Linked DNA regions of Coturnix japonica. The main gene of each other region encodes a partner of the protein of the gene in region 2 in a complex. Links are inferred from orthologs where the notes say so. Each region holds a gene or a part of one and is shown on either strand. Other genes may lie near its edges. The genes, in order: guanine nucleotide-binding protein G(i) subunit alpha-1, NMUR2 and NMU.

Region 1 (3,569 bases), on a different chromosome or scaffold from region 2:
TCTAAAACATCAATTTTACTATGAAACTGGAGGCAAAGTTATCTAAAACAACGAAACAAAAAAGCAGAGTTTACTAGAGGAAGAGGGATCCTTCTAAATGAAGAGCTCTGTACAGAGGGAAGTTTATATACTTGTGCTATTATTGTTTAAGTCAAGAGATTTGTCACTGTGAGCTCATCTCAACAAGACCAACAAACAAAGTAATGATCATGCTCGAAATGTGTTATTTATTAAGAGTGTCTTTCATTACATAACTTCATCTGTAGTTATCTCACTGTACTTTAAGTTGTTTAGGATAACAACTGTCACACCTGTCTACCATCTTACTTTGTCCTTATCTGACTCTTTCTTAACAAACTTACCCTTACTTACTGTTGTCATACTCTATTCATCATACCTTGGATTCCTAACTTTTTTCCTATTATCATTTTTCAAAGTACCCTAACACAAAAAAATACAGCTTGGTTGTTATGTTTACTCTGTATGTCTAATAAATACTGTAGGTTAACAAAGAAAATGTGGCAATTTGAATTCTACTGGAGAATTATGTAGAAGAAATTTGACATGAACATGAAATTGAGTCCTTGTAATACAGATTCACATCAATTAGTCATGTTTCCTGGACATGTCCTGATACTGAACGGGTAACCGAGTCACAATTTTGTAATAAAAATGCTACAAAAAATACTAAAGTATCTCAAAGTATTTTTTTTTCTTCAAAATAAATCTAGCAACTGATCAGAATGTGACTTAAACTCATAGTTATACACCACATCTCTTTTTCTCTGTTCTCAAAGGCTGCGTTTTGCATTCTGATCCAAGTATACAATATCTTTGGCTAGATATTTCTAGGTTTTCCATCTACGTGGGAGGAGAATTACTTAAAAATTTACAGTTCTCTTAAATTTTTTATCTACTGCATAGAAAACAAAAGAGAGCCTTGTATGTCACACAGTACTTACTAGGCAGCAGAGTCATTAAGCTGGTATTCTCTAGATCTGTTGAAACAAGCTTGTACTCCACTGTCTTTCCACAGTCTTTTGATAACACCAGCAAGCTCTGCAGTCATAAATCCTTCCTCTGCTGCTCCAGCTAACACAAAGAGTTGACGAGCATCATCCTTTAGGATGTAAACAAAAAGTGGAGAGAGAAACATTGAGGAATACAACAAAGGTTATACTAAATTCCCCATCACCTAAGAATAAAAACTACATTCAGCAAGAGTTACTCCACTTGGTATACATGACTATAACTAAACAAAAAATGTGAAGGAAAGCAATTAGTACCCTATGTTAGATATTACTTCCCACTCTTTTCAACAAGAGAAAAAGATGAGTTCAGTAATTTCGCAACAGCTGATAAAAATTCTGATCAGTTTATTATTTGAACTAAGCTTCTATGAACAGAAATATTTTATACACTTTGTGCTGAAGTCTACATTAACTTTATTTTATTGTTGTATCCTTCAGACAGAACAGAACAGTTACAATGCATATTAGAATTAGAATGCTAATCCCAGGACAGACCGTTTCTGAAGTTCCTGTTATAACTTGTGCTCTCCTGATTCAGTAGTTTCATGAAAGAAAATATTCAACTTGTTACTTTGCCATTATTCTGACAAGGGAGAACAGGCAATTTTCCAAACAAATTTATTTTTTTCAGAGTAAAATCTCCAAAAATTCAATTCAAAAAACAAAGGAAGAGCCTGAATAACAGCCTTCCTCAGGACACTGCAATTTTGCGTATTTTTTCTTCTGTAGAAATGCTAATAAAATCAAATAAAAATTAAAGGCCTATATTTAGTACAATGAAGAACATCCCATAGACTTTCTAAAAAGGCAGACTTGCATCCCAAAAACATTCCTTTTTCAGTTTTTCATTTTGAAATTACTTCAAGACTAATACTTATTTTCAATAGCAATTTTTCTTTGTAAAAAGAATTTAGATCACCAAGACCTGCTTAAGTGCTACGGAATATCCCCAACAGAGTTTGCATTCAGGTATATAGCTCTCTGAAGTTGAAAAATTCCTTATCATACATGATGAAAATGAAAAATTCGTATAATACATAAAATAATTTCACAATCTTCTTGTCAGTCCTTTTATCTGATAAAATCTACACTTACTCTCTACTCCATTTTCTTTCACTTCGTATTTAGTAACAAAAATATACAATCCACCTTTCTTCCAACATTAACTGTCAGAGATCAAGGAGGACTTCACTGTACAAATGAACTAATATGCACTCACATACTGATCCTACCCTGAAAATCTCTGGTCTCATATCTACATTTCATAAACGGCATCTACCCTCCTGATCTGACAGGGACACAATCAGGTTCACCACATATAAGTATACAGCATTAGGAACTGTAAAGTGATAAGCAAAAAGTTCTGCAGACTGGCTCCAATAAGTGGATGAAAAGAGATGAAAAATGTACAAGAAGAAGGGCAAGAAATGGGCAACTGTTTTCTTGGGAAAAATCCTTAATCCAGTGCTATCATCGAAAAAAAAGGAGTACAAGCAGCAGCACTATGCCTGTAGAGTACAGTAAAGTAATTCACACTATTAGTCAGTATGATGCTGGATCTGGCCTACAGGTGAGAATGTTTTAGGCACTACTGTGTCTGTGACTCAATTGAGAAGTGTTGAGAAGTGCAGAGAACAGCTAGATGCCTACCTGTTTAATCTGTGTTTTTTAAGGAAAGCAATGATCACCTTGAAGGACTTACAGCAGCCCATTAAGTAAAAATTAAGAAGTACAACTACAAAGCTTACTATTTTTCAAAAAATCCCTCAGACTGGGATTTACATAGAATTTGGAGGTCTGTACATAAACAAAATAGTTGTGATGAATCAACCTAGAGTTAACTGATCAGTAGAGCACTTCACCATGTAGAAAACTAAATGACATTTCTTTTTTATCAAACCTTCTAGCCTACAAGGACTGTTGGATATGAAGAGATTTTTTCAGGAAATAACAGTGGATAGAAACTGAAACAGAATGGATATTTCAGCTGTATATGCGCACGTTTACGTCAATACTCACAGCCCTGGTTGGATCACCAAAGTCTATCTTCAATCTCCCCATTGCTCTAATGATAGCAATAATTGACTGAATGGTGTTACTGTAGACAACAGCTTTGTACTGTTTACATTCTTCTTCTGAATAACCAGCTTCGTGGATAATCCTACGGAAGGAAAAAAAAAATAAATTCTCTATTCAAATAAAAGAAGCCTCTCTATGATTGTATTTTACTATACTTACTTCATTTGTTTGACAATTGTGCTTTTCCCTGATTCACCAGCTCCTGAAAAATAAATGGAAATTCATTACATTTTTGCGCATCTTTGAGAACACATTTAATTCCTGTTTCTACACTTCAAATACCTAGCCAATACAAAAAACTTCAACTGTTCCAAACACATTACAAATTATTTTTAACATAAAACCTAAATGCCTCTTGCTAAGCTTCAAAATTGAGATATTTTGACAAGAAATCATTCAACTCTGGAAAATCTTTGTTCTTCTTTTTGTGCATGAGAGCATTAAACTTCATACAGCTTA
Region 2 (4,043 bases):
ACTCTTCATTGAATGTCAAAAATCCACACTACCTCAAGTACTAGAACTTGACTTTTATGTTGTAGTGTTAAACCAGAAAGTTGTAAAATTAAACCCATGTTGATCATGAGGTGGTGGTGATGAAGTAATCAACCTGAAGTCTCAGTTGGTCATGTGAGAAGGACAGATAAACATATATATTTATGTTTAAAAGTAATGAAACTAAGAATTAAGTCAATGACCACATGACAGGGTACCCTTTCACAACTGCCTGATGTGTCACACGTGCTTCCTTCTCTGTTTTGTCCTGAGGCACAAACTCTGGAGCTCTGTCAAAGCTTGAAGGAGAAACTATATGAAAAAGATGCTCTTCCACAAAGTCAGCTAGAAGTGATGCCTCTGCCTGCTGAAATGGAGATGTTTGCTGAATTGCAGATGTTGTTCAGGTTAACTCCGAGCTTTTCCACTGCTATCTGTGAGCAATGCATGGCACTCAGGAGATTCTGCAGTGTCGCTGAAGCTTGAAGGTTTTCATCAGCTGTGAGTAGTGAAAAAAAGTCTTCTCTTGGAAATTACACATGCACACCATTTCCCTATCATTTCTGTCGAACATAAAAATGAAACCTTTGCCCAGCACAGCTTGGAATGCAACGCAGACAAACCGGGGGCACGTGTTGTTAAAATCTGGAAGTAACAATTGGATACACAGAAAAGCTAAGGCATATACAATAAATATTGCAGCCCTTAGGAAAGACAGCTTGAACAAGTCTATCAATAAACAGATATCCCTGGGGAGCAAGCCCTTGTTTGGCACCTGGCTTCTCTTCTAGGATGAGGATTAGGAACTGTGAAACTATGCAAAGATTCCACAGCAGCCACTGAACTGCAGTTGCTTCAAAGATCTTCTGAGTGTGCAGACTGCTGGTAGATAATCCCTTTAGCTTTTCCAGGGTAGGGAAAAATTTCTTTTCTCTAGTTCCAGAGAGCAGTAAATACCAGCCATAACAATAAAAAGATGTATGAGCTGGCACAGATTTTGTTGATTTTCTTGCACGTTGTTTGGTAAGTTAATCAGTCTTTACAAGCGTGTTGCATCCCTTTCTTTCTCTGTGATCAAACACAGCATTTTAAACTCTAAATTATATCCAGTGCAGTGAGATAGGATTCATATTTCTGAAATGTATGTAACATAAGAGAAGAAAAAACCCACAGATTCTTTATGATTAGTAACACTGGGCTGTACAGGTTAATAATGCTGTGATGCTGACTTGTTTTCTCCTTCTATTTAAATAATGGCAATTGGCAAAACTAGTCTCATTTTCTGAAGAGATCCCAAATGTGAGCTCTAAGGTAGCCTTAATCAGTGGTGAAATTGTACTACAGTTATCCAAAGAGAAGACTGCTGAAATTGCTAGCTGCAGCAGCAAGGGAGCATTTCAGTTTGTGACAGCTTTGTGAGTTTTAACAACTGAATATTAACATCCTCTCCAGGGAAGGAAAAAAATAGAGGTGTAATGGAAATTCCACAGTTACAAGAAGAGAGAAAACAAATCATACACAGGATTCTATCACCAGCCCACTCCTTTTCATTCTTTCCACATTTTCCTTCTGTTTTATTTCCTTCTAGTCCCTATCACAGAGGTGTAAATCTCTGAGAGGTTGGAATCATCAGTCTACACAATGGGATGTTTAAATGACATTCAAATGTGAGAAGCAATAGGTTCTCTTTTAAAAAAGGTTGGGGTGTATTATTTCAAAGCATTGCTGTATTCTTTTGAGCACAGGATTACAGCAAAGAAGGGGTGTTTCCGGGGGGGCTTCAAACAGATAATATTTATAAATATATATATTTTTGGCAAGACGGATGGGCAAGAAAATGTTGAAGTCACAGACACAAACACACAAGAATGAGTTACAGAAACACTGAGCACTTGAGCAGGACTTACTCTTAGCCCCATCAGATAGTACAGCACACTTATGACCCCCATAGGCAGCACATAGAAGAGGAAGGAAGTAATCTGGACAATCCAGTTGTAGATCCACATGGGCGCAACCACAGTGCAGGTGGCAGAGCCAGGGACCATGGTGCCATTGGGGAAATATTGCAGCATGATACCATGGGTGCCCATGTTGGGGAGGGCAAATAGGACGGAGAGGACCCAAAGCACCACGATGGTCCTCAGGGCACGCTTGCGAGTGCTTTCCAGCTTGGCACGGAAGGGATGGAGGATGGCAAAGTATCTCTCCACGCTGACTGTGGTCACGCTGAGGATGGAGGCAAAGCACACCGTTTCAAAGAGAGCTGTCTTGAAATAGCAGCCAATGGGACCGAACAAGAAGGGGTAGTTGCTCCACATCTCGTAGACTTCCAGTGGCATCCCAAAAAGTAGTACAAGCAGGTCTGACACGGCGAGGCTGAAGAGGTAATAGTTGGTTGGGGTCTTCATGTTCCGGTGCTTAAGGATCACCAGGCAAACTAGGAAGTTACCAATCACCCCAACAACAAAGATCACAGAGTACACCAGAGCCATGGGCAAGAACAGATGGCTGCGTTTGGGCCCACATAGGAAGGCTAAATAATCCTCAGTGCTGTTTAAGTACCTCCTGAAATGTTCCTGCAGAACAAGGTGGTTAAACCAGGAGGAATTGCTGATCCAGGCCATTATTGGACCTGCTGAAATGTCCCACAGCTGAAATCCAGCCTTCTGTAAGTCCCTCTGTGCTAGTTCACTCACTTTTTGCAGGGAGATAGAGAGAGGAGTTGCCTTGCCAGACCTAGATGCACAAAGCCACGGAGAGATGAGTGTTTGCCTGGCTTCGGTTGAGGGTTTGCTGTTGTAACAGCTGCTCCCCTGTGAGGAGTCCCTAAGCCAGAAAGCCCCTCCTTTCACACATATTCATTGGCTCACTAAGTGCATTAGATTATAGAGTAAGAAAAGAGGTTCTGGCTACTTGTATTAGCTCCTGTAGCAGATACATTTACAGAATGAGAGATGTGGGATTCAGAGAGATGGGAATGTGAAATATAGGGTGAGAAACTTGCCGTGAGATGCTTGTGTTTGTCAGGTGGTGGGGAACCAGACACAAAAAAAAACTGTGTTGCTGCTCTCCACCAGCAAAGAAAGAAAATCCAGCATGATTTTATCTTTCATATCTCTGCTGATTTTTATTCTCTGTTTGCTGCAGCAGTAAGTACTTGGAAATAGAGTGTGATTGGCAGAAAGTCGTCCTGTCTTTGTAGTCATTCCTGTGGAATAGGTATCTATACAGCTTCAGCCTCTTTTTAAGGAGTATATATATACATATATATATATTTCTCCTGAAATCTGACACAGGGTTTTTATGGCTCTTCTTATATCACACTATTTTTACATCTTTTATCAGGGAGCATTGTGTCAAAGTGCACATGCAATTTGCACTGGGGGGTTGGAAAAAGGGCTGAGAAGAGATCAGAGAATGATGGAATTTGATCTCATTTGGGGATCATATCTTTCTGAAGATCATATTACTCCAAAGATGAATTTAGTGCCTCTAGATCTGAATTTACATGAATTCTCATAGATTTCTTCTTCTCAAATGAAAACTATTCTACAAATGTACTTTCTGACCTACAAGGGTGATGACTGTGTCACAGTAGAGTATTTAACTCCTGACTAATTCCTGATCCCTCGTTGAGGTGATGGCCTCAAGATGCACCAAGGGAGGTTCAGGTTGGATATTAGGAAACATTTCTTCTCAGAAAGAGCAGTGATGCAGTGGCACAGCTGCCCAGGGAGCTGGGGGTTCAGTGTCCCTGGAGGTGTTTGAGAACTATGAAGATGTGGCACTGAGGGACATGGTTATGGGCTGGGGTTGGACTTTGAGATCTCAGGGGTCTTTTCCATCCTTAATGATTCTGTGACAGAAGGCATCACAGTTAAGTGTCTTATTGCATTCTAACATCTTCTCTGACCTACTCTTTCCTACTTTAACTTCTGAATTAGCAGTAGTCCAATAACCTTGGAATTTAAAGAAAAATGTTGCAATGAGCACAACTGTCCCCCAAAAATAGCAGCAGTAGGTAA
Region 3 (4,367 bases), on a different chromosome or scaffold from region 2:
TTCCAGTGCCTCACCGCCCTTACTGAAAAAGCTTTTTCCTTATATCCAATCTAAATCTCTCCCTCTTTTCATCTGAAACCATTTCCCCTTGCCCTGTCACAAAAGACAGTTTTAATGTTTTCATGCAAGTGGATTCAGCAAAATAGTTCGATGTGCAACGTTAAAACAGATATCACATAAATTCAACCATGCGACCTCTGTGCATTTCTGAAGTCTTCCATCTGAGAAGATACCATTTTTGTGCTGTGCATAAAATGTTATTTGCACCTCAAGGCAGGATAAGAACATTGACTGGGATTAAACTTTCAAATTTATAAAATACTGTCCTTTATTTTCCCATGCAATCTTTTGAACAGTTTAATTAGAAGGTATTAATTAGCAAAATGCACAACAGATTAAATCCCTCCAAAGGCCAAAGCTCAGGGTGCTAATTTATGTATTTGGATTAAGATAGATGAGGGAGTTACCTTTCAGCTCTAATGACTACCAGTTTATGATGATGCCTTCTAAATAAATATCTGTTTTTATTAAGAGAAACCAGAACCAAATGCAGTTCCTTGTTTTGGATTAAAACACCTCTTTTAACTGGGTAGATGTGAATACAATAACAAATACAAAATACAGGCTTTTTAAATTTCTCTTCTGATCCAATAAATAGTATTTCCATCAACACAAGGATTAATTCTGTCTCCACTCACATCAAGAAAAGCTTTGCTATTGAACATGATATAGAAGATCTTCCTATGACAGATACACTGCGCAGCCGGCACCAGCCCAGCACCCTGCTGTGCTTCTTGTGTGCTGGTGGTGCTGCATTGAGTTTTGAATCCTCAGATGGGCTGTACCACCATATCGCTGTGTTCTGCCTCCTGGTGTGGCAGTTCAGGTGTGTGTGCACCTTCCCTGCTGTCATAGGGCTCACCCAGTGTCAAGATAAGAAGCTGATTTCCGCTATGATCGCAAAGTTGGGGCTGTGCAGAGCTTCCTCTGCTGTCATTCTGGGGATTAAATGCAACAGTGCTGCTCCTTCCAGTAAATTCTCTTTCCTTATTAGAAAGAATTGCAGTTCTGCCCTAGAATTGCAATTCTGCCCATGGTGTAGATGGGGAAGCAGAGTCAGCCACAAACACACCTGGCGGCTTCTTTATCACCTGGCTTCATCCTCCTCTCGATTAGAGCTCTCCAGCTGTCAGGTGGGGTTCCAGTTTTAGCATCAGGCAATGCCCGAATCTCACCTCCACCCCCCCTAGTTCGCCTCCACCCCCTCCATCCGCGGCAAGGGGCAGCCGGCCACAGCTGGGGTTGTTCTTTTAAAGCGAAGAGTTTTTTTCCCCGAGGGGTGAGGTGAAGAAGCAAAGACCGTCCGGTTTCCGTCCCGAAGCCGAGCGGGGCCACGCACAGCCGCAGGGGGCCGGGAGCGGGGCTGAGTCACCGGCGGAGCAGAGGGGGTCTGCCCCGGGCGGGGGAGGGAGGCCGGCGGGGCGGGCAGGGCGGCTGACGTGCGCTCCGTGAGTCAGGGTGATGCTCGTCCACGTGTCAGGGAGATTTAAAAAGTTTGTGCAGGGAGCGGGGCACGGACAGCGTTGTGCAGAGCAGGGCACGGCGGCTATGGCACAGCTCTGCCAGCAGCAGCTCCCTGCGGCCATCCCCCCGCGAGGCCCGGGCAGCGGCGGGGGGGTGCCGGGTTCCCCGCTTCTCTTGCTTCTCTTCCTCCTCGCCTCCTCCGTGCGTGTCTGCAAAGGTGAGGAGCATCTTCCCGCAGCCCCATCACCGCAAATCTGGGGGGCGGAGGGGTTACCCCGGCGTCCCCGCGAAACCCAAAGCCTCGCAGCGCTCCGTCGGGCTGCGACGGGGGAGCGGGGTGGGATCCGTGCGGGGGTTGCGGAGGTGCCGAGGCCAGGGCCAGGATGGGGCTCGTCCCTGGACAAGGGTTGGGGTGAGGAGAGGGGCTCCTCCACCTGCCCTGGGGATAACTCTGTCCCGGCCAAACTGCGCTCTGGTAAAGGGGGAAAACGGCTGTAGATCAAACCGATGTGATCGTAGTGGGGATGGACGAAGTTGATCAGCTACTTAAACAGGGAGACCGGTTATCTGTAGTGTCATTGAGAGTGCTGTGTTACACCTGGAAGCCGCTATTTTTATATGAGGGAGCACTCTAAAGTGAGAGCAGCTGATGGGCATTGCAACAAAACACAGTGCCTTGCCCTGCCCGTCCTGCTGTCCCATTCTACGTGCATGAAGTGCTTACACCTTGTGAAGCACTTTACATCACCTGTCGCCGTGCACCGAGCAATTAGTTCTGTTTGCCTGTATTGGGGATGAGCGAGTCACTTTCATCAGGAGCTTTTGTGCTGGGTATTTGTAACGCACCGCATACTGTGTTAGAAATGAATTCTGGAGATGGGGGAGAGAGGAAGGAGGGAAAAGGAGGGTGAGGAAAGGCAGCGACACATCACACTGTGCTCACAGAGATGACTGAAATCGTGCACCTGACACTTGCGAAAGCCCCTGTGTAGGTCCAGCAGTGTTCAGGGTGATGGAGGGATGCTGCTTTGCACTGCTGAGACTGCACCTGCCATCAGAGTTCTGTGAGTGAGCTGAGGAGGGTTAAGGAAACCTATAGGGTAGTGAATCATGGTGCACTCATGGCTACCAAGGCACCAGTCCCAGGCAACGCTCCAAAGTGAACACTCTGAATTAAGAACAGAATACAATGACAGTGAGAACTGTAGCACACTTAATTTATTTGGAGCTGTTCCTTGAACTAAAGCACGCATCAAAAAAGCACAGTTTTCATTGAAAGGCAGTTTTACTGCCATGTAAACCTTGCAGAGATTTCAGAAATAAGCAGTTTCTACGCAGGATGAAGTTAAGACTCCCCTCTATCACTGTTCATGCTGATCTCAAGCCTGTGTCAATACCAAAAGGAGCTTTTGCAACATATCTATTATGCCTGGAAGTTATTCCTGTTGCTATTTGTGCTACTTGGAGATGCCGGGTTCACATCCTGCTCACCTGGCTATTCTCATTAAGACTACCTTCATCCTTTTCTTTGTTTAATTTGGCACAATTATTTGGGGAGAGACAAAAAGCACCAGAGGTAACTATAGACTTTATGGGAGGCTGTAAAATCTCTGCTTACCAGTGACCGGTAAAAACAGAGCATGAACTGGCTGGGTATGGTCACAGACAGCAACCTTGGGCACAGGGATAAACTGGATGACTCCTGGCAAACCTTACCATGCCGAGAGCAGACACGCTTGGGACACGCTGCTTTTAGGATACTCACAAGAATGACCCCTGCTACGCAGTGTTGCTATCGTTGTTTGTGCTTCCAGGTGTTCCGATGCCATCCCAAGCGTTGGAGGCAGAGCAGGAACTGCAGCTGTGGAAGGAGGTGAGCTCTGCGGGCAGGCTGGCTTTGCCAACTGCAGAAAGGCCGTGGCTCTAGGGTGAGGGCTGGGAGCATCCTTGCCAGCTTATCCCTGGTAGGTCAGGGATACAAGTTGAATGCTATTTCTTATTCCAGTCTTTGTTGTGGTCACGCCTTCCCTCTCCATGCTTTCTCTCATATGAAGTTCAGGTGCTTCCAATCCTACTTCTCCCACGTACCTGTTCTGACATTGGTGAAGATGTGAAGCACCTAATTTTCCAGATTTCCGAACAGTATCCAGAGATTTGGTGCTGAGATTTCATGTGGGGAACAGACTGCTTTGGCTCAGCAGAGAGCTCTGTTTGGTGACAGTGATCCTCTAGCTGTCATTGACCAGGAGGTCACTGTTCTTGGAAGCAGCACAGTGTCCCGATCGATACTTTTATAGTTGGTGTATGATAGGCACTGACTGTTTCAGCTCATTCAATCAGTCTCTGGCTTCTTCTGTTCTGCAGACAGGGCTGGGACACAGTATTCAGTCACATCTTAGCATCTTAATTCACAAAGTAGAGGATAACACCCCATTGCAGTTTGCCTTTCTAACATTTTTTACTAACCACAACTATACTTTTAATTCTCATCTCTGAAATTTATTCCATGATGTTACTTGTGTGTTGGCATGAGCTCTTTTGTACCCATTTGGAGCAGATGGAGAATCAGAGCATAACATAGATAGAGGGTTCAGCTTGCAAGTTGTGTGCCCTGCCATTGCTGTAACTTTTCAAGTGTTCTGTTGATATTTAATTTTGTAGCTTCTGATAACATTACAAAGCAAGTGACTCACCCCGGGTACAGCTGCACAGTGTAAATTTCTTCCTTACTGTCAATGCATTTTACAAGTATTGACTCAACCACTGTCATGTTCTTAGCCCGGCACTTGAACAAGTCCTGGTGGTGCTTTGCTCCTGGGAGAAAAATGATCTCTTGGGAGGTA

Evidence for each region.
Region 1: the proteins of NMUR2 (region 2) and guanine nucleotide-binding protein G(i) subunit alpha-1 are in contact, whole or in part, in a cryo-EM structure (PDB 7XK8), measured with the Homo sapiens proteins. The link is inferred for Coturnix japonica from reciprocal best matches to the Homo sapiens genes NMUR2 and GNAI1. Residues at the interface, in NP_064552.3 of Homo sapiens: Thr78, Thr80, Glu143, Arg144, Ala147, Ile148, Pro151, Phe152, Ala154, Leu156, Met239, Leu243, Gln259, Cys262, Arg263, Val266, Leu330, Ser331, Arg333; in NP_002060.4 of Homo sapiens: Glu28, Ala31, Arg32, Leu194, Ile343, Ile344, Lys345, Asn347, Leu348, Lys349, Asp350, Cys351, Gly352, Leu353, Phe354.
Region 3: the proteins of NMUR2 (region 2) and NMU are in contact, whole or in part, in a cryo-EM structure (PDB 7XK8), measured with the Homo sapiens proteins. The link is inferred for Coturnix japonica from reciprocal best matches to the Homo sapiens genes NMUR2 and NMU. Residues at the interface, in NP_064552.3 of Homo sapiens: Ser42, His43, Gly98, Glu102, Glu105, Met106, Trp107, Arg108, Asn109, Tyr110, Pro111, Thr123, Phe126, Glu127, Asn181, His185, Pro199, Ser201, Thr203, Cys204, Val206, Tyr213, Phe284, Arg288, Phe291, Glu295, Trp297, Ser298, Glu299, Ala302; in NP_006672.1 of Homo sapiens: Glu146, Phe152, Ala153, Ser154, Gln155, Gly158, Tyr159, Phe160, Leu161, Phe162, Arg163, Pro164, Arg165, Asn166.

What each region holds. Positions count from the first base shown.
Region 1 is NC_029516.1:10,219,439-10,223,007, forward strand, and holds part of guanine nucleotide-binding protein G(i) subunit alpha-1, read right to left. Parts: intron 3,313-3,569; coding exon 3,270-3,312; intron 3,193-3,269; coding exon 3,051-3,192; intron 1,121-3,050; coding exon 963-1,120; intron 1-962. UniProt on the Homo sapiens protein: Guanine nucleotide-binding proteins (G proteins) function as transducers downstream of G protein-coupled receptors (GPCRs) in numerous signaling cascades.
Region 2 is NC_029528.1:5,369,051-5,373,093, forward strand, and holds the start of NMUR2 (neuromedin-U receptor 2), read right to left. Parts: upstream 2,801-4,043; 5' UTR 2,643-2,800; coding exon 1,926-2,642; intron 1-1,925. UniProt on the Homo sapiens protein: Receptor for the neuromedin-U and neuromedin-S neuropeptides.
Region 3 is NC_029519.1:58,656,338-58,660,704, forward strand, and holds the start of NMU (neuromedin-U), read left to right. Parts: upstream 1-1,516; 5' UTR 1,517-1,521; coding exon 1,522-1,741; intron 1,742-3,338; coding exon 3,339-3,397; intron 3,398-4,367.